Linked DNA regions of Diceros bicornis minor. The protein of the gene in region 1 interacts with the protein of each later gene in a biochemical or structural test. Links are inferred from orthologs where the notes say so. Each region holds a gene or a part of one and is shown on either strand. Other genes may lie near its edges.

Region 1 (7,188 bases):
TGATCTACGGCCGCAAGGTCAGCACAGGGTCGGAGCTGAGGCTTGGGGCTCACTGACAACGTGGACAGTGACCTTGCTGTTCCTGCCTTTAGCGCTGGTTCCTGTATCCCCCTGAGAAGACACCAGAGTTCCACCCCAACAAGACCACGCTAGCCTGGTTCCGGGACACATACCCAGCCCTGGCACCATCTGCGCGGCCCCTGGAGTGCACCATCCAAGCTGGTGAGGTCAGTGGCTGGCAGAAGGGGGCCAGGCTGTATTGGGCTGAGGGCCCCCACCTGACTCCTATGTTCCCCCTCCTATCCCCACCAGGTGCTGTATTTCCCTGACCGATGGTGGCATGCCACACTCAACCTTGATACCAGTGTCTTCATCTCTACCTTCCTCAGCTAGCCAGTGGGCCCATCGCGCACCAGCACGTGCCCCTATAGTGCTCACATATTTTATTACAGGGACAGTGGTGGCAGCGGCAGCCTCAGCCCAGCCCAGCCCAGCCCAGCCCACCCTCACCTGCTGTTTCCAGCCCAGAAAGGGGACAGGGGAGGCTGATGGCCCAGCATCAGAACTGACGGAGAGTGGCATGGGGACACTGGGGCAAGAATTCAGGGACATGAACTCTGTACAGGGGCCAGGGCTACTGCCCCAAGGCCCTCCAGGGCCAGGTTACCGGGCAAAGCGGGGCGAGTGGCCCTTGCACTGGCCCTGCCTCAGTAGTCCTCCACCCAGCCGTTCTCGGAGATGAATGCATCGATGACCTCTTTCATGGCCAGGTTAGGGATGAGCTGCTCCTGGGTCAGGGGGCTCCGGGTCACAGGGTCAAAGTGGCCCACGCGCTGTAGTGACAACAGGGTCAGAAGGTGGTCAGTGGATCCAGGCCCTGCCCCCAACACCCGCTGGTCCTCCCTCACCTGCAGGTGCTCCTCGATGTCCTTGCGGTCGTAAGTGATGCCGCTGGGTGTGATGCAGGGTTCCCGCATCAGCTCAAAGCTGATTTTGCCACAAAGGTAGTCGGGGATGTCTCGTTTCTGCAACACACAGGTCAGGTCAGGGAGCAGGAAGGGGACACTGCTCTGATTCCGGCTACCCACAGGCCCCAGGAAACAGACAGCACACCTTTCTCTTCTCGTCCACCTGGGAGAAGAGCTCATCCATGTCTGCCAAGAACTTGTCCTGTGAAGAAGCGAGCAGCTACGCGTGGGGTAAACACTCCATTTCCCTTCCCCAGGCGCAGACACACACCTAACAGGAACCAGCAGCACCCTCACATTGCATGCATGCACACACAGACCCACACGTGGGCCAGGGCACCCTCACGTGCTTGGCCTCGATGCAGGCCTGCTGGGTCCGGAGATGACCATCGTCTTCATCACCCCTGTGGCTCCGCTGACACTCTTCCAGCTCCCTGGAAGTCGACCAAGGAGCTGGTCAGAGATGGGTCTGGCCAGGAGAGGTCAGAGTGCATGCCAACCTCGGGCTTATTCAGACCTCATCTCCTGTCTCCTGCTTGCCAGTGTTGGCCTTCAATAAATACTTGTGTTTGTGACTCAGAGTTGATCTCAGAGTGGTGACTTGGGGAGGGTGCCCTGGAGCCTGCCACCACCACAGCCTACCTCTCACGCTCAGCTGTGATGAGCCGCGTGAGGTAGGAGTGCAGCTCGCTCTCCTGGTTGATGCGCCTTTCCTCAATGCTGTTCCAGCGCTTCTTCTTGGCGATGCGCAGGGCACTGGGGATGTCGTCTCCAAAGTTGAGCCGCTGCTCTTTGGCCAAGTTGTAGGCTGGGGAATGGGGGCCTCATGTCACCCTCTGGCCAGTCCACCCCCCTGTTCTCAGGCACCCCCATAACCAGCCAAGCCTGTAGGCCCACCTCGCTGCAGATTAGCAATGGCCTCATCATAGCTCTCCATCTCCAGCTGGCACTGCCCCAAGAAGAAGTGCGCCTTCACAGACTGCCCGTCCAGCTCCAGGGCGCGCCGGCAGTCGGCCAGGGCCTGCTCGTGCTGCTGCATCTTCAGGTAGCAGAGTGCCCGGTTGGTGTAATACACCGCCACCAGGGGATTCCGGGTCTGGGGACCAAGGCAGGGCCAGCCAGCATGAGGGTGTGAGCTCAGCCTGCCCCCTCTATCCCAGTTTGTGGCCCATAGCTGGAATCAAGACACTAGAGATTTCTCAGCCTCAAAGTCCCTGGGTCCTGAGAGTTGGTGGAGATGGAGTGCTGGCCCCGAAGCCTATCTGAGCCCACCCTCTTGACTCCAATAGGTTTTGTAACCGCAAGTTTCCCAGACTTAGGGAGATCCCAGCTTTCGGCCTGCGGTCCTCAAGGGGCAAGGATCCCTGGCCCCCCGCCCGACGGGCATCAAGCACCCTGAAGCTCCCACCCGCCACAGTTCTCCGGCAACCAGCACCGGCTGGAGAGCCGCGGCCTTGGCCCCTTTGGAACAAGATCATCACTGAGTCCTCAAAGCCCAAACGCCCTCCGGAAGAGCCAAAATCCTCCGAAGGAGCGGCGGGGGCGGCCGGGCAGGGGCTTGCGGGAGGACTCGGAGCCGAAGCCGCGGCCCCGCCCCTCTCCGCCCGGACGCCGGCCCCTCCCCCGGCGCGGGCACACTCACGATGGCGCGACCGTAGCAGGCCGCCGCCTCCGGGTACTTGCGGCCCACGAAGAGCCGGTTGCCCTGCTCCTTGAGCTCCTGCGCACTCGGGCTCTTCTCGGGGCTCCCGCCGCCGGCGCCCAGCCGCGCGCCGCCCTCCTTCTCCTCCTTGCCCTTCATGGCGCCGCGCGGCACGGCCTGGGCTCCGCTCCCAGGCTCCGCGCCCGGCCCGGCCGCCCGCCCGCAGCCCGAGCCCGCGATGCGCTCGGGCCGGGTCCACCGATCCGCCACCGGAATTTCCGGCCGCGTGGGGCGGGGCCCGCAGGCCGGACAGACACGCGCGGGTGGGCGGGGCCGCGCGTGCGCCCGACACACTGCGGGGGCGGGGCAGGCCGGCAGAGTGCGTCCCCGGAGACGCAACCCGCGGCGTCGGAAGTCTGCGTGATCGTCGAGGGCGGCCCTAGATGCTCTCAGCCACGCGCGTTTAGGGGTTGTTCTTCCAGAAGCTCGCCCCGACTCTCCCTGATCCCGCCCCCAACTCTCCGAGGCCCCGCCCCCGACTCTCCCAGGCCCCGGCCCGGCGCCCGAACATGGCAGCCGCCCGCGGGTTGTGGGGCTGTGAGGACTCGAATCTCTGGACCGCCATCCTGGCGCGCCACGGGGAGGTGCTGCGGGCCCACCCGGACTCCCAGGGGCGGCTGGAAGCCCTGGATCGATGGTAGGCCGGTGGGAGGGGTCGGTAGGGCGGGCGACTCCCGCTGCCCGAACTCCCCGTCACCGTCCTTCCCCAGGTATCGAGTGGAGTTGCCCGCAGCCATCCAGGACCGCGCAGAGAAGCACGTGACACTAGATGACCTAAAGTGGCTGCTAGCGTGGAAGCTGGTGGTGAGGGGCTTCTCACGTGGGGGGCGGGGTCTCGGCGGGGCGTGTCCTCCTCCTATGGGCGCGTCCTCGCGGCGCGGGATTTGGGCTCCTCCTGGGGGCGGTCCCCGCGGTATGGGGCGTGGCTTCCCCCAGGAGGCGGGTCCTCGCTGTGTGGGCGTGGCCTTCTCCGGGAGGCGGGTCCTCGCGGCGTGGGCGCGGCTTCCTCGGGGGCCGAGTCCCCGCGGCGTGGGGCGCGGCTCCCTTGTGGCAGCAGGTCCTCATGGCGTGGTGCGGAGCCTCGCGGGCCGGGGCGCGGCGGGGGTGGGGGTCCCTGGCGAGGACCACCACCCGTGACCCACAATCTGGCCTGGCCCCAGAGAGGCCGCTTCCGGCCGCGCCTCGTGACCTCCAATGCCCCCGAGCTGGTGTTGCAGCGCTCGGCCACCGCCTTCCGCCTGCTGCCGGACCTGCAGGCAGCGGTCAGGGAATTGTCACAGAATTGTGCACCCTCCGCGGCGTGGGCCCCGCCACCGCCTCGGGTTAGTTGGGAGAGCTGGGCGCCCCAGCAGGGTCGCGGGCGGGACCTGGCCTGGTAGCGCCCTTGTCTGTAAAAAGGACAGATGGTCATGTCCATGACACCAGCAGTCACTGGGAATGGCAGCCCCACGCCAAGATTGTCCCAAGAGTGGCAGAGGCTGAGTGCTGGCCCTTCCTATCCACAGCGGTCCTTGCTGCTGGAGTCCCCGAGGAGGCAGCATTCATTTCCGACGAGGCAGTGGCCGCAGTGCTTGGCCTGCTAGCTCTGCAGTACACTCTCCAAGCACTACATGTTGTACCTGGGTGGGGGGCGGGAGTGTGCCACAGCCCTGAGCAGAGGTGAGGACGTCCAGGACCCAGTGAAGGGGCAGTGTGCAAAGCTGTCCAGCAGGGGAGGGAGGCCAGGGCCCCTGGTCCCCAGACTCCTCCTGTTCCTCCCTAGGCAGCACCTCAGGGGTGTGGACCCCTCACCACGTGGAGACAGCACTGTGGACCTGGGTTGTGAGGCAGAAGCTGTGCCCCGACCTGCTGCCCAACCTCGGCCCTGGCCCAGCCACCCCTGAGGGCACTAGGCCAGCCAAGAAGCACAGGACCCAGGCTGACTGAACGTGGCTGTGGCCCAGGGCCTGCTCACCTGCCGCGCAACCTCAGGCCACAGGTCTCTGGTTGGCCAGCTGGCAGAGCAGGAGCCAGCTGCTGTAGGCACTCAGTAAATGCTTGCTGAGCTCTCCCCTGACGGTGAGACCCTCAGCCCTGCCCCAGAACCTCCTGCCTCCTACAAACACACCTCATACCAGGTGGAGGGAGCAAGGGGGAGCCCAGGCCGCCTGCATGGAGGGAAGGGCCCTCACGGTCTGCTCAGCAAGTGGGGGGAGGCCAGACCAGCCCCCAGAGCTCTGGTACAGCCACCTGGTGCTGTGTAAAATATTTATTCATTCTCCAAAAAGGCTCAGACCGCAAATCCTGGGTGGGGAGGCTGGGAGGCAGGGTCTCCTCTGGGGCCACCCTTGGGGACCTCCACCACCAGGCCCAGCCCAACAGTCCTACACCCCCAGGCCTGGGAGGGGGCACCAGGGCTGGTGTAAGGCTCAGCCTGGACTTGGGGCCACAGGGGCCACCCGCCCCACAGGGGAGAAGCAGCAGCCTTGAGACGTACATTCACGGAGGGCGGATGTGCAGGCCCGCCTGGTGGCTGGCCCACACACACCTTCGCCCTGGCCTGTGTAGCTCCAGAAGCCCGTTACGGCGGTGGGGGGATGTGGGCGCCTAGCAGGTCGTAGGCGAAGATGTTCCAGAAAATGGCGAAGAGCAGGAAGGTGCCATAGGCGAGCAGCACCACCCACCAGCCGCACTGGTCTCGCAGGCGCTCCTCGTAGCTGCGCAGGATGGTCAGGCCCATGCTGACTCCCACCACAGCGCCCGCCAGGTGCGCCATGAAGCTGGGCTGCGGGCCCGAGGCAGGCAGTGGCGGGGAGAAGCGCAGCCACACGGCCCGGCCCACCTCGGAGCTCACTGCAGAGGGAAGCAGCAGGTGGGAGGCACCCTGGCCATAGGCTCAGTCCCCCCAGTCCCCCCAGCCCCCTACTCACTGCACACCAGGGCCAGCACCATCCTCAGCAGCTTGTACGGACACCTCATCCCAGCCCAGTTCTGTGGGGTGTGAGACAGAAAGGCCATGAGGCAGGCCTCGTTTGCCCCTCCCCACACCCTGCCCGTGGTTGCCCCCTTACCATGACGACGTTGGCCAGGTGTGCTGAGCACAGGGCATAGACCCCGCCGGAGCCCCCCACCACAGGGGCCCGCATGTCAGTGATGGAGACGGTCAGGGAGCCTATGTGAACAAAGGGGGGCCGTGAGAGAGAGGCCTGCCAACAAGGTGGCCAGGGGACACACGCCTGCTCACCTGCCAGCACGCCAGCCAGGTAGAGCAGGCTGATGCGGAGCAGGCCGTGCACCATCTCCAGGGGCACCCCGATCATCAGCTGCAGGAGTGCGTTGAACCCCAGCTGCTCCAACCTGGCCATGTGGGGGCAAACGGGTGCGAGGAGTGAGGTCAGCTGTCGGGCCTCCAGCCCACAGCCTCATCTAAAGGGGCTGAGCCCTCCTGATTCAATCACAGGGGTACTGGAGGGGCCTCACTCACCCGACGTGCATGAACATGTAGGTGAGGAAGCGCCAGGCCCGGGCGCGGTGGCCGGGGTGGTACACGAGGGGGCTCCTCATGTACTCGGGGTGGTAGGTCTGCAGCACCCACTTGTTGAGGCGGGCCCCGTAGCACAGGAACACGACAATCTGGGGGAGACGGGTATTAGGGCTAGGCAAGCCAGTGACATGGGTGGCTCCCAGGTGGCACGTGGGCAGGCCCACCTGGGCGAGGGTGACCGAGGCCATAAACACCGGGGGTGGGCAACTGCGATGCCGGTAGAAGTACCAGTGGCGGTCCACCTCTCGGGGCAGGATCTCATAGGCCACGTAGCGCACAAACCGCTTGTAGACACCCAGGCCCGGCTCGTCCAGCAGCCCGTCCCGGGGCAGTGCCCGCTGTCCATTGGTGATGGCGTGCTTGAAGCTGCTTGAGCGCTTGCTGCTGATCTGGGGGGCGGGGCCTAAGCGTGGGCCACTGTACTACACCCACAGCCGCCCTGCCCATGTGGCCTGCCCAGCTCCTCACAGGGTCTGAGGCCCTGCCCAACGTCCACAGCCCTCCCCAGTGGGAGGCAGGGAGGAGGGGCCGCCTGCCCACCCAACCCCGGCCTTCCAGCACAGCACTTGGCCAGCCAAGGCCTGGGACCCCGCCCCTGCTGCACACCCACCGTGACACTGACCAGGTCCACCAACTCCTGGTAGCAGACCTGACCCCTCTCGTTGCTCTGGGCCAGGGCCACAAGCATGTCCAGCTTGGCCGGGTCCAGGGGCAGCTCATGGCTGTGCACCAGGCCAGTGAAGGTGTCCGCACCGATGAAGCCTGTGTTGTCAGGATCCAGCTGCTGGGGTGAGGAGACCGCCAGCCAAGGCCTGAGGGTGGGCCCAGCCCCCAGACCACAGGGCTGGGCCAGGCCAGCTAGAGGAGACAGGCTCTGAGCACCCTCAGGCCAGGCCCCTGTGCCCACGTGGTCCCAGGAGCTGCAGGGCTCTAGCGCCCAGGTCCCAGGCCTCCACCTTCTCCAGCTCTCCAGAGGTCTCCCCACCTTATTTCTG
Region 2 (7,549 bases), on another chromosome or scaffold:
AGCCCCTCTATTAACAGAAGTGCCTCCTCTCATCTCTTCCCTGGCCCCTCCTGGGCTGAAGTCCAAGGCACACACCTGTGTGAATGGCCCAGCTCCGGAACAGACAGGCGTCCTTGTTGATGTCCCAGCCATGCTTGGCCGCGTGCTTCCATGGGATCTGGAAGATCATCTCCTCCTGAACAGCACACACACACACACACACACACACACACAAGGCTGTGTCAGCTCAGAGACCACAGGTTTTTGGCCTGAGTCTGCCCAGCCCCCCAGGTGTGGGAAAAGGCTGACTTCCCCTTTTCACCCTGACATCTGGCTTGGGTTGACCCATCCTGAGATTGGCTTAAACCAGCTACTCTATCACTCTGGATCTCTCAGAAGGGGCTCTGGGTTCTGATGAGCTGTGGTACCATCAGCTCAGCAAAGACCTCACTCTGTCTGTTACAGATGTGCTGGAACCCATACAGAGCTCCCTGGGATGCTTCTCTCTGGCTTGTCAGCATCAACATGGAAGTGAGAACTCCATCAATTAGATGGGGCTGCTTAGGACACCTGGGACCACTGGCTCCTACACAGGGGGTCCTGGCCCTACACCTGAGGGAGCCCTGGGCCAGACTTGGATGCTGACTACCTGTGTGATCCTGGCACTGTCACTGTTCCTCTTTGTCCCTGTCTTGTCTTCTATGGAATGACAAAACACAGTGACAAATATAAAGACTAAGGTCTCACTGTTGTTACTGGTGATTAACAGTATGGATTTTTGAGTCAGACTGATCAGGTTCAAATCTTGGCTTTATCACTTTTTATGTGATCTTATTTTCTACTTCTCAGTGCCTCAGTTTCCTTATCTGAAAATGGAGATATTAATAGGATCTACCTCACAGGGCTATTTTGAGGATTAAATGACACAATGTAAGTAACATACTTAGCATGGTGCCACACTCCTAGTGAGTATACAGTAAGCATTAGCTATTATTATGAATACTATTATTACTATTAAGTCTGCAGGGTCTGTGTTGCCCTTTGTGCACCAGCAAGAGGCTTCTTGGGCCTGGGCAATGGTGCAAGGTTAATTCTTGGGTCCCCTGCTGAGCCAGCCACCTTCCTGCCAGCAGTGCCCACTTCTCTGTCTCCCATCAGTCTGACTGGAGCCCTGTAGGATGCTATGTGTGTTTGTAGGAGTCTCCCTCAGAAGAGACCAGAACTCCAGCTCTGCAGATGCTGGCAGAGCCCTGCTGCTGGGAACTGTCAGTGCCCTCAGGTGGGTGCCCTGTCCATACCCTGAGGAGGGAGAAAGGCAGAAGTTGGGCAAGTGGGGCCCAGGGCTGGGCCTCCCACACCCCCTGCATGCAGGAGTCACTGGGAAACACAGCTGCCTGCTCCCTATTACTTCCCTTTTCGAACTGCATCTGAAGCTTTGGTCCCCCAAAGAACATGGGTTAAAATAGCGGCAGACAAACCCAAAGAGTTACACTCACTTTATTAATCCAGATCAGCCCGGGGATTTGGTTGGAATTAATCTGCATCTCTAGCCAGGGTCTCATGCGCATCCGAGTGATGGGCATGTTGGCTGTAAAGAGAAGACAGAAGGCTCCTGTTTGGAATCTATTGAGCAGCCATAGGCACTACCCTGCCCCACCCCAGGTCATTCAGTTACCTTCCCCACCTTCAGCCAGGTCCCAGGTACTACAATCGTGAGGAAAGGGGCTTTCACTGAAATAAATCTGCCCTCCAACTTCTGCCCCTTCCCTCACCCCCTCCTAGAGAGCCTTGGGAGGAGACAGGCTTGCAAGTGATAGTTTCAGGATTTATGTGCAGGAAAAAGAGGCAAAATACACAGGAATCTTAATACCAGAACTTTTCTCCCCAAATTCAAATCCTTTGGGAAGGGAGGGGATTCTTTTGCTTGATGCCAAGAAATGTCCCTACTTGAGTTGTTGCCACTGGCTGTGCACCTTTCCCGAAGGGCAAGCAGTCACCCTGCACCCTGGGCATCCTCCCCCGACCCCCATCTATTCTACGCCTCCCTGACAGCCACAGTACAGAGGCCGGGACGCAAACCCTTCCTGCCTGGCTCCCCTCCTCGGCGAAGTGGCCCAAGAAACACCTGTGGCGCCTCCTCCCGCAGCTCCAGCAGGTCCTCCAGCCACCCAGGGCAGCAAGCCCCAGCCCCCGCCGCTTGCATAGATAGCCTGAAACCTGGGGCCTCGGCGCGGAGCTGGGACCGCCGAAAGCCGCCTTCGGGAACACAGAGCGCCCACGCGCGGACGTACACTGGAGTTCCCGGCACGGCTTGTGGATGCGCGCAACGAACACTCCGGGCCACCTAGAGGCCCCCGGCAGCTTCGCGCATACAGATCTGAGAAAGCGACCGCACGCCTGCAACCTCTGCCGGGTGGGCGGTCCACGCCGCGGTCCGCCCTCCCCGCGCTGCCGCTCGCCGCTCCTCCAGCGCCCTCCCGAGACCGCTCGGGGACCCAGACAACGCCGCGCGCCCGCGACTCTCCTGCCTGGGGTTTTCGGCCCCCACTTTCTGGTGCCCAGCGCCCTTTTGTTCGACGCCACCGGTCCCTCCGCGGCGAAGGCGGCTCACCTCTGCAGCGGGCGCGATCCGGTGGCGGCGCGCGATCCGGTCCTGGCGCAGCGGGAGCTGCTATGCCGGCGCGGGGAGCGCGATTCCGGGTGGGAGCGAAGGCAGAGGATGCCCGGGTCGCGGGGCTGCTGGGCACGGCTGGCCTGGGCTTGGCACGGCTCCTGCTGGCCTCTGCTCCGCGCGACTCGGACGCACGTCCTGCCTCGACGAAGGAGTGGCGCGCTCTGCCGGGGCAGCGGCGCCGGCGAGAAATCTAAACACTTAGCGGGATTCCCCCAACCCATGCTCGGCCCCGCCTCTAAAGAGCCGCGAGGACGCCGATTGGCCGGCGCCGCCACATCATTTCGGAGAAATCAGGCTGTTGTAGAGCTAGCGGCGAAGGGGAAGTACAGGGCGGCTGCTTCTCCCCACCCCCTCCGGCCCGGCGCCACCGCCCCGGGGCGTCCGCGGGCCCGCCCCGCCCTCTCCCACTCCACCCCCACAGCAGCTAGCCCGGGAGAAAGGCTGTCCTGGAAAGCCGAACACCCTCCGGCCCCGCGGTTACTTCCCTCACTCCGCGTTCTCCCAGCCTGCTAGCTCCTGTGGCTGTCTCTTCACTCTCCTCTCCGGAGGTGGGGACATCAATCTCCAGAGCGCAGGTGAGGGGGTCAGTCGGGCACCTGCCGCCCTCTTCAGAGTGAACACCAAGATGGAACCCCTGAAAAGTAACCTGGTTCCTCAGGCCTGTTAATGGGGTGTCAAGAAGGGAGGATTTCGACCCTCACACTGCCCCCTTTTTGAGGGGTGACACACCTCCAGATCACTCGCCTGCCCTGGGAAAGTAAAGGAAAGCCTACTCTGCCTGGCGTGCTGCTTGGGGCTGCCGGACGAGAGGAAATCCCAGGCTGGCTGCTGCTGGCACAGCCTCTGGACCTCAGTTTCCTCAACTACGAAATAGTGATAGCCCTACCTTGCTGGTCTACAGTGACAGAGAGAGATGATGTCTCTAAAGCTCCATGCTTTTTGGGCAGCAGATGCTGCATGGTTTGCAAGGTCCCTGCTGGGAGTACAATAATGACCAGGGAGACACCTCTCCCCCTTTACCGTCTACATCCCTGGGACTGCCCCACGTCTGGCCTTAGGGAAAGAGAGGAGAATTGTTTCAGAGAATCAAGGACTGCTGAGCTGGGGTGGGGTAGCCTTGGTCCCTCCTAGCACTCCTGCCTTAGGCCACCTCCACATCCTCACATGTCCTTTGCCTGGGAGCTCCTCAGTGGCAGCCTTGGTGTTGTTTCTGGGTCCTCAAGGCTTGGCCCAGAGAGGTTCTTGGCAGCATGAGGGCATTGCTTATGGCTGGCCAAGGCCATGGGTCTAGCCAAAAGGTTGGGGAGCCCAGGCCCCAGGCCACTTGGGAAGGGCAGCTACTTAACTTGTGTGCTTACTAGACCTTGCTCCACTTGTACTTCTAGAGGCTGTGCTGTGTTCATTTCCATGCATAACTGTGGCCCAGCAGGCTCCTTCCTTCAACTCCTCAAAGGTGCTGACTCAGAAGTAAATCACTCTTCCAGGCAGGGCTGGTTGTGTCACTCCCCAAACCCCAGCTCTCCTTCCACAGCAGCACCCAGTTGCAATGATGCAGTCTATAAATAGACACATTGATGCAGCATTCCACCTGTCAGTCACTCTACTGCCTCCCTCCCACAGAGGAGATGGATGGGTTAATCCAATTCTGGTGCCCCAGAATCTGATGCTGTGAATAACGCCAAGCTTGGTTCTCAGGAGACCAACAGGAATGGGTCAGAGCTGTCTCCAGACAGTGGTGGGTGCAGGAGCTGGGAGAGGGCAGAGGCAGGAGGAACTGTGAGGAATGAGCCTAGCTGGGTGTCAAGGAGAAGGGAAGGTGCTGAGGCCCTGGAAGGGGGAGAAGGGGTGGAGTGCTTTAAGTGACAGATAGGAGTGGGAACCCACTACAAAGACCAAGACCATCTGAGCAAGAAGAGCAGAAAACAAGTGGCTTCAGAATTGTGAAGTCTGTTCTCTGTGCAGCAAATGGATGCTTGTCCTGTCTCTAAGAATCTGACACGGCCATGGAAAATTCAGAATGAGATTAGGGAGAGGAAGTTTGCAGCTCATGTGGTCTGAGAAATTAACCAAAATGACCCTATGAAGGCAAGAGGAGACTGTAAAAAGTGCTTTAAAACAAAAACGTTAATTCACAGATAATCATCTATATGTGCATCTGTATATATAATGAGCATCTTTCCATGTCATGAAAGGTACTTCTGCAATATCATTTGTAATGGGTACGTATTATTCTATCATAAGGATAAGTAAAAATTTACCCAATTAATCCCCTATTGTAGGACATTTAGGTTATTTCCATCTTTTCATAATACAACACTCTGTAGCTAAATCTTTGTGCACATCAATAATTTTTTGCTTAGGAAAAATTCCCCAATGTTAGGATTTACCAATGAAATTGTCATTTACATCTTTGAAGTGTTCTTTGACTTTTTTTTTTTTTTTTACTTTTAATTTTAGGGATTCTTATTTTATCTTGAAGTCTATAAAAATCCACTTATCATGATTGGGGGTGCTATATGCCAAATCAGCGAAATAAAGCTAAACCCTATTTAAGCACCTCAAATTTTTATTGTAACTGCTCTTAATGAATCCCATTCTAAGATGTAGCACACATTCCCTGTGACACTAAGCAGAACACATAGAATCTTCCCTAGGTATTTCTTAGTAATTCACGGTGGGCCCTTTCCCCTCTCTGCCTCAAAATACTCATCGTCTGTAATTCCAGCCATCCCCTCTGGGCAGGTGACTTCCAAACCGCAGCTCCAGCTGCCTTCTGGACACTCCTCTACAACCCTCTCCACAAATTCACACACACACAAGCAGAAGTCTTTCCACCCCTTTCCACACTGTCCCCAGCAGCTTTCTCTCTTCCTAATTCCAGCTCCCTCCCTGGTGAAGTCTTTCCCATTTTCCTCCCCTCTTGGCCTCACCTGATCCTCTGGGTCTTCCTTCCTCACATCAAATCATGTCTTCACGTTCCAGGACCAGATTGTTGTGGCCACAGCCTCCTCTTGGGCCTCCCTCCCCATCAAGCCTGCCCCTCCTGGCACCTCTGCACTAGGATGATCTCCCTAACTTTGATGATCTCCCTACTATTCAGGTCCACCCAGGAGCATTCTGAGTTCCCCAAGACTCCTTAGCCCCACATTCAAATCATTGCTCGCTCTGGTCCTAGGGGTCCCATTCCAAACTTCTCTTCCAAGGCTCTGCTACCCTTGGCAGTAACTAAAGGGCGTTGGAAAGAGAACACAGGATTTGAGTCTGAAAGCTGGGTTTTTGTACTTTTGCTACTTGCTGTGTGACCTTAGGCAAGTTACTCTCCCTCTCTGGGCCTCAGTTTTCTCATCTGTAAAATAGAGATACTCTCTGCGCATCTCTCCTAATTGTTGTGAAGATGAAATCAGACAGACTATCAAACTCCTTTCTTTTTTTTTTTGTGACGAAGATTAGCCCTGAGCTAACATCCAATGCCAATCCTCCTCTTTTTTTGCTGAGGAAGATTGGTCCTGGGCTAACATCTGTGCCCATCTTCCTCCTCTTTATATGGGATGCCACCACAGCATGGCTTGACAAGCAGTGCATCGGTGCGCGCCCGGGATCCGAACTGGTGAACCCCAGGCCGTCGATCCGAACTGGTGAACCCCAGGCCGTCGAAGCGAAGTGCACACACTTAAGGGCTACACCACTGGGCCAGCCCCTCAAACTCCTTTCTAAACTGTAAAACATTAGTCAAATGACATGTATTAACAGTATGCATGAACCTTTCACTGCATTTCCATTCTCTGAACACAGTTTGTATGTTCCCCCTTCTGGGGAACAAAGGCTGAATTTTTCTGCAAGAGACCTGAGCAGGTTCCTCACACCTGCAGCTGGAGTTAGCTGGGGGTTAGCTCTGGAGCAAGGTCTCACTCACAGGATGCCTCCCATCTATACTGTCACTCAATGAGGGTAAATATATTGTGCAGTTTCTCGGTATGGGGCCCTGTGGTGCCTGGCAGGAGGCTGACTGGCTGGCAGAGCCTCCTTTGAGGTGATTTCTGCAATCAGGATGCTGGGGGCAAGATCACCCGTGTGGGAGCCTCTTCCCTGATGGACCAAATCTTGTCCCCAGCCCCCTCCCTAGGCTCTCAGAACACACTGCACCCGCTACGTGGGCTCCAGTTAGTCCTGAAGTGCAGGACCCAGCAAGGCTTTAACTAGGTTTTTGAGAGTAGGGCATCCTTGGGCCCCTGCAGGGGCTTGCTACCCAGAGAAGAGGCCACAGTCTCCAAAGCAGATGAACCCCCAGCAGGCGATCCAGCCTCCCAGGTCCAGAGGGAAGGCTCTCTTAGATGCTCCAAGTCCCTCCCAGCCATCATCTCTATTTTCACAGCAAACCTGGGAGGCAGGCAGTCCTAAACTGTGAAGTACAGAGCACCAGTCAGGCATAAAATCATCCGAAAGCACTCAAAAGCTTGAAGACAGAATCCAGGCTTAATCACCCTGCCTGAAAGGAGCCTAGTTGGAGAGAAAGAAAGGCGTTTCTTAATTCATTCAACAAATATGAATCGCACTCCTGCTCTGGGTCAACTCCAGGTTTGGCCCTGGGGATATGCTGGGGCACGAGACGAGCCCCTCCCCTCTCACAGCTCTGGCAAAAATGCTGTATGACACAGCAGAATAAACGTCGTGGTGTTATAAAAGCCCTAAACGCAGAGTGGGAGGCTGCCGCTGGCTGGGAAAGCACTAGGGGGTCCTGCATTGTAAGAGTGGGCCGAGGAATTGCTCCAGCGCTCTGGGCTGTTCCGGAACTCCGGAGGTGGAGCGGGCGTCAGTGTGGGCTGCCGCTGATGCCCTGCGCAGTTTCATTTCTTATAAACACTGCGTTGGGAGGAAAGAGGCCTCAGCTCCTCATCC

Evidence for each region.
Region 2: of the proteins of STUB1 (region 1) and IRF1, one has a biochemical effect on the other in vitro, tested with the Homo sapiens proteins (4 studies listed by BioGRID, with this or other methods). The link is inferred for Diceros bicornis minor from reciprocal best matches to the Homo sapiens genes STUB1 and IRF1.

The regions. Positions count from the first base shown.
Region 1 is NC_080765.1:47,639,447-47,646,634, forward strand, and holds STUB1 (E3 ubiquitin-protein ligase CHIP), read right to left. Parts: upstream 2,838-7,188; 5' UTR 2,770-2,837; coding exon 2,611-2,769; intron 2,065-2,610; coding exon 1,866-2,064; intron 1,777-1,865; coding exon 1,611-1,776; intron 1,403-1,610; coding exon 1,315-1,402; intron 1,171-1,314; coding exon 1,114-1,170; intron 1,026-1,113; coding exon 708-1,025; 3' UTR 512-707; downstream 1-511. Other genes in the region: JMJD8 (jmjC domain-containing protein 8), read left to right, coding at 1-17, 93-227, 313-393; uncharacterized protein LOC131422050, read left to right, coding at 3,180-3,307, 3,381-3,774, 3,831-3,932, 4,254-4,329, 4,433-4,596; RHBDL1 (rhomboid-related protein 1), read right to left, coding at 5,231-5,502, 5,580-5,640, 5,721-6,006, 6,134-6,582, 6,804-6,977. UniProt on the Homo sapiens protein: E3 ubiquitin-protein ligase which targets misfolded chaperone substrates towards proteasomal degradation.
Region 2 is NC_080740.1:51,801,805-51,809,353, forward strand, and holds the start of IRF1 (interferon regulatory factor 1), read right to left. Parts: upstream 3,021-7,549; 5' UTR 2,591-3,020; intron 2,374-2,590; exon of another isoform or gene 2,271-2,373; intron 2,212-2,270; exon of another isoform or gene 2,197-2,211; intron 2,185-2,196; exon of another isoform or gene 2,105-2,184; intron 1,568-2,104; 5' UTR 1,563-1,567; coding exon 1,476-1,562; intron 176-1,475; coding exon 76-175; intron 1-75. UniProt on the Homo sapiens protein: Transcriptional regulator which displays a remarkable functional diversity in the regulation of cellular responses.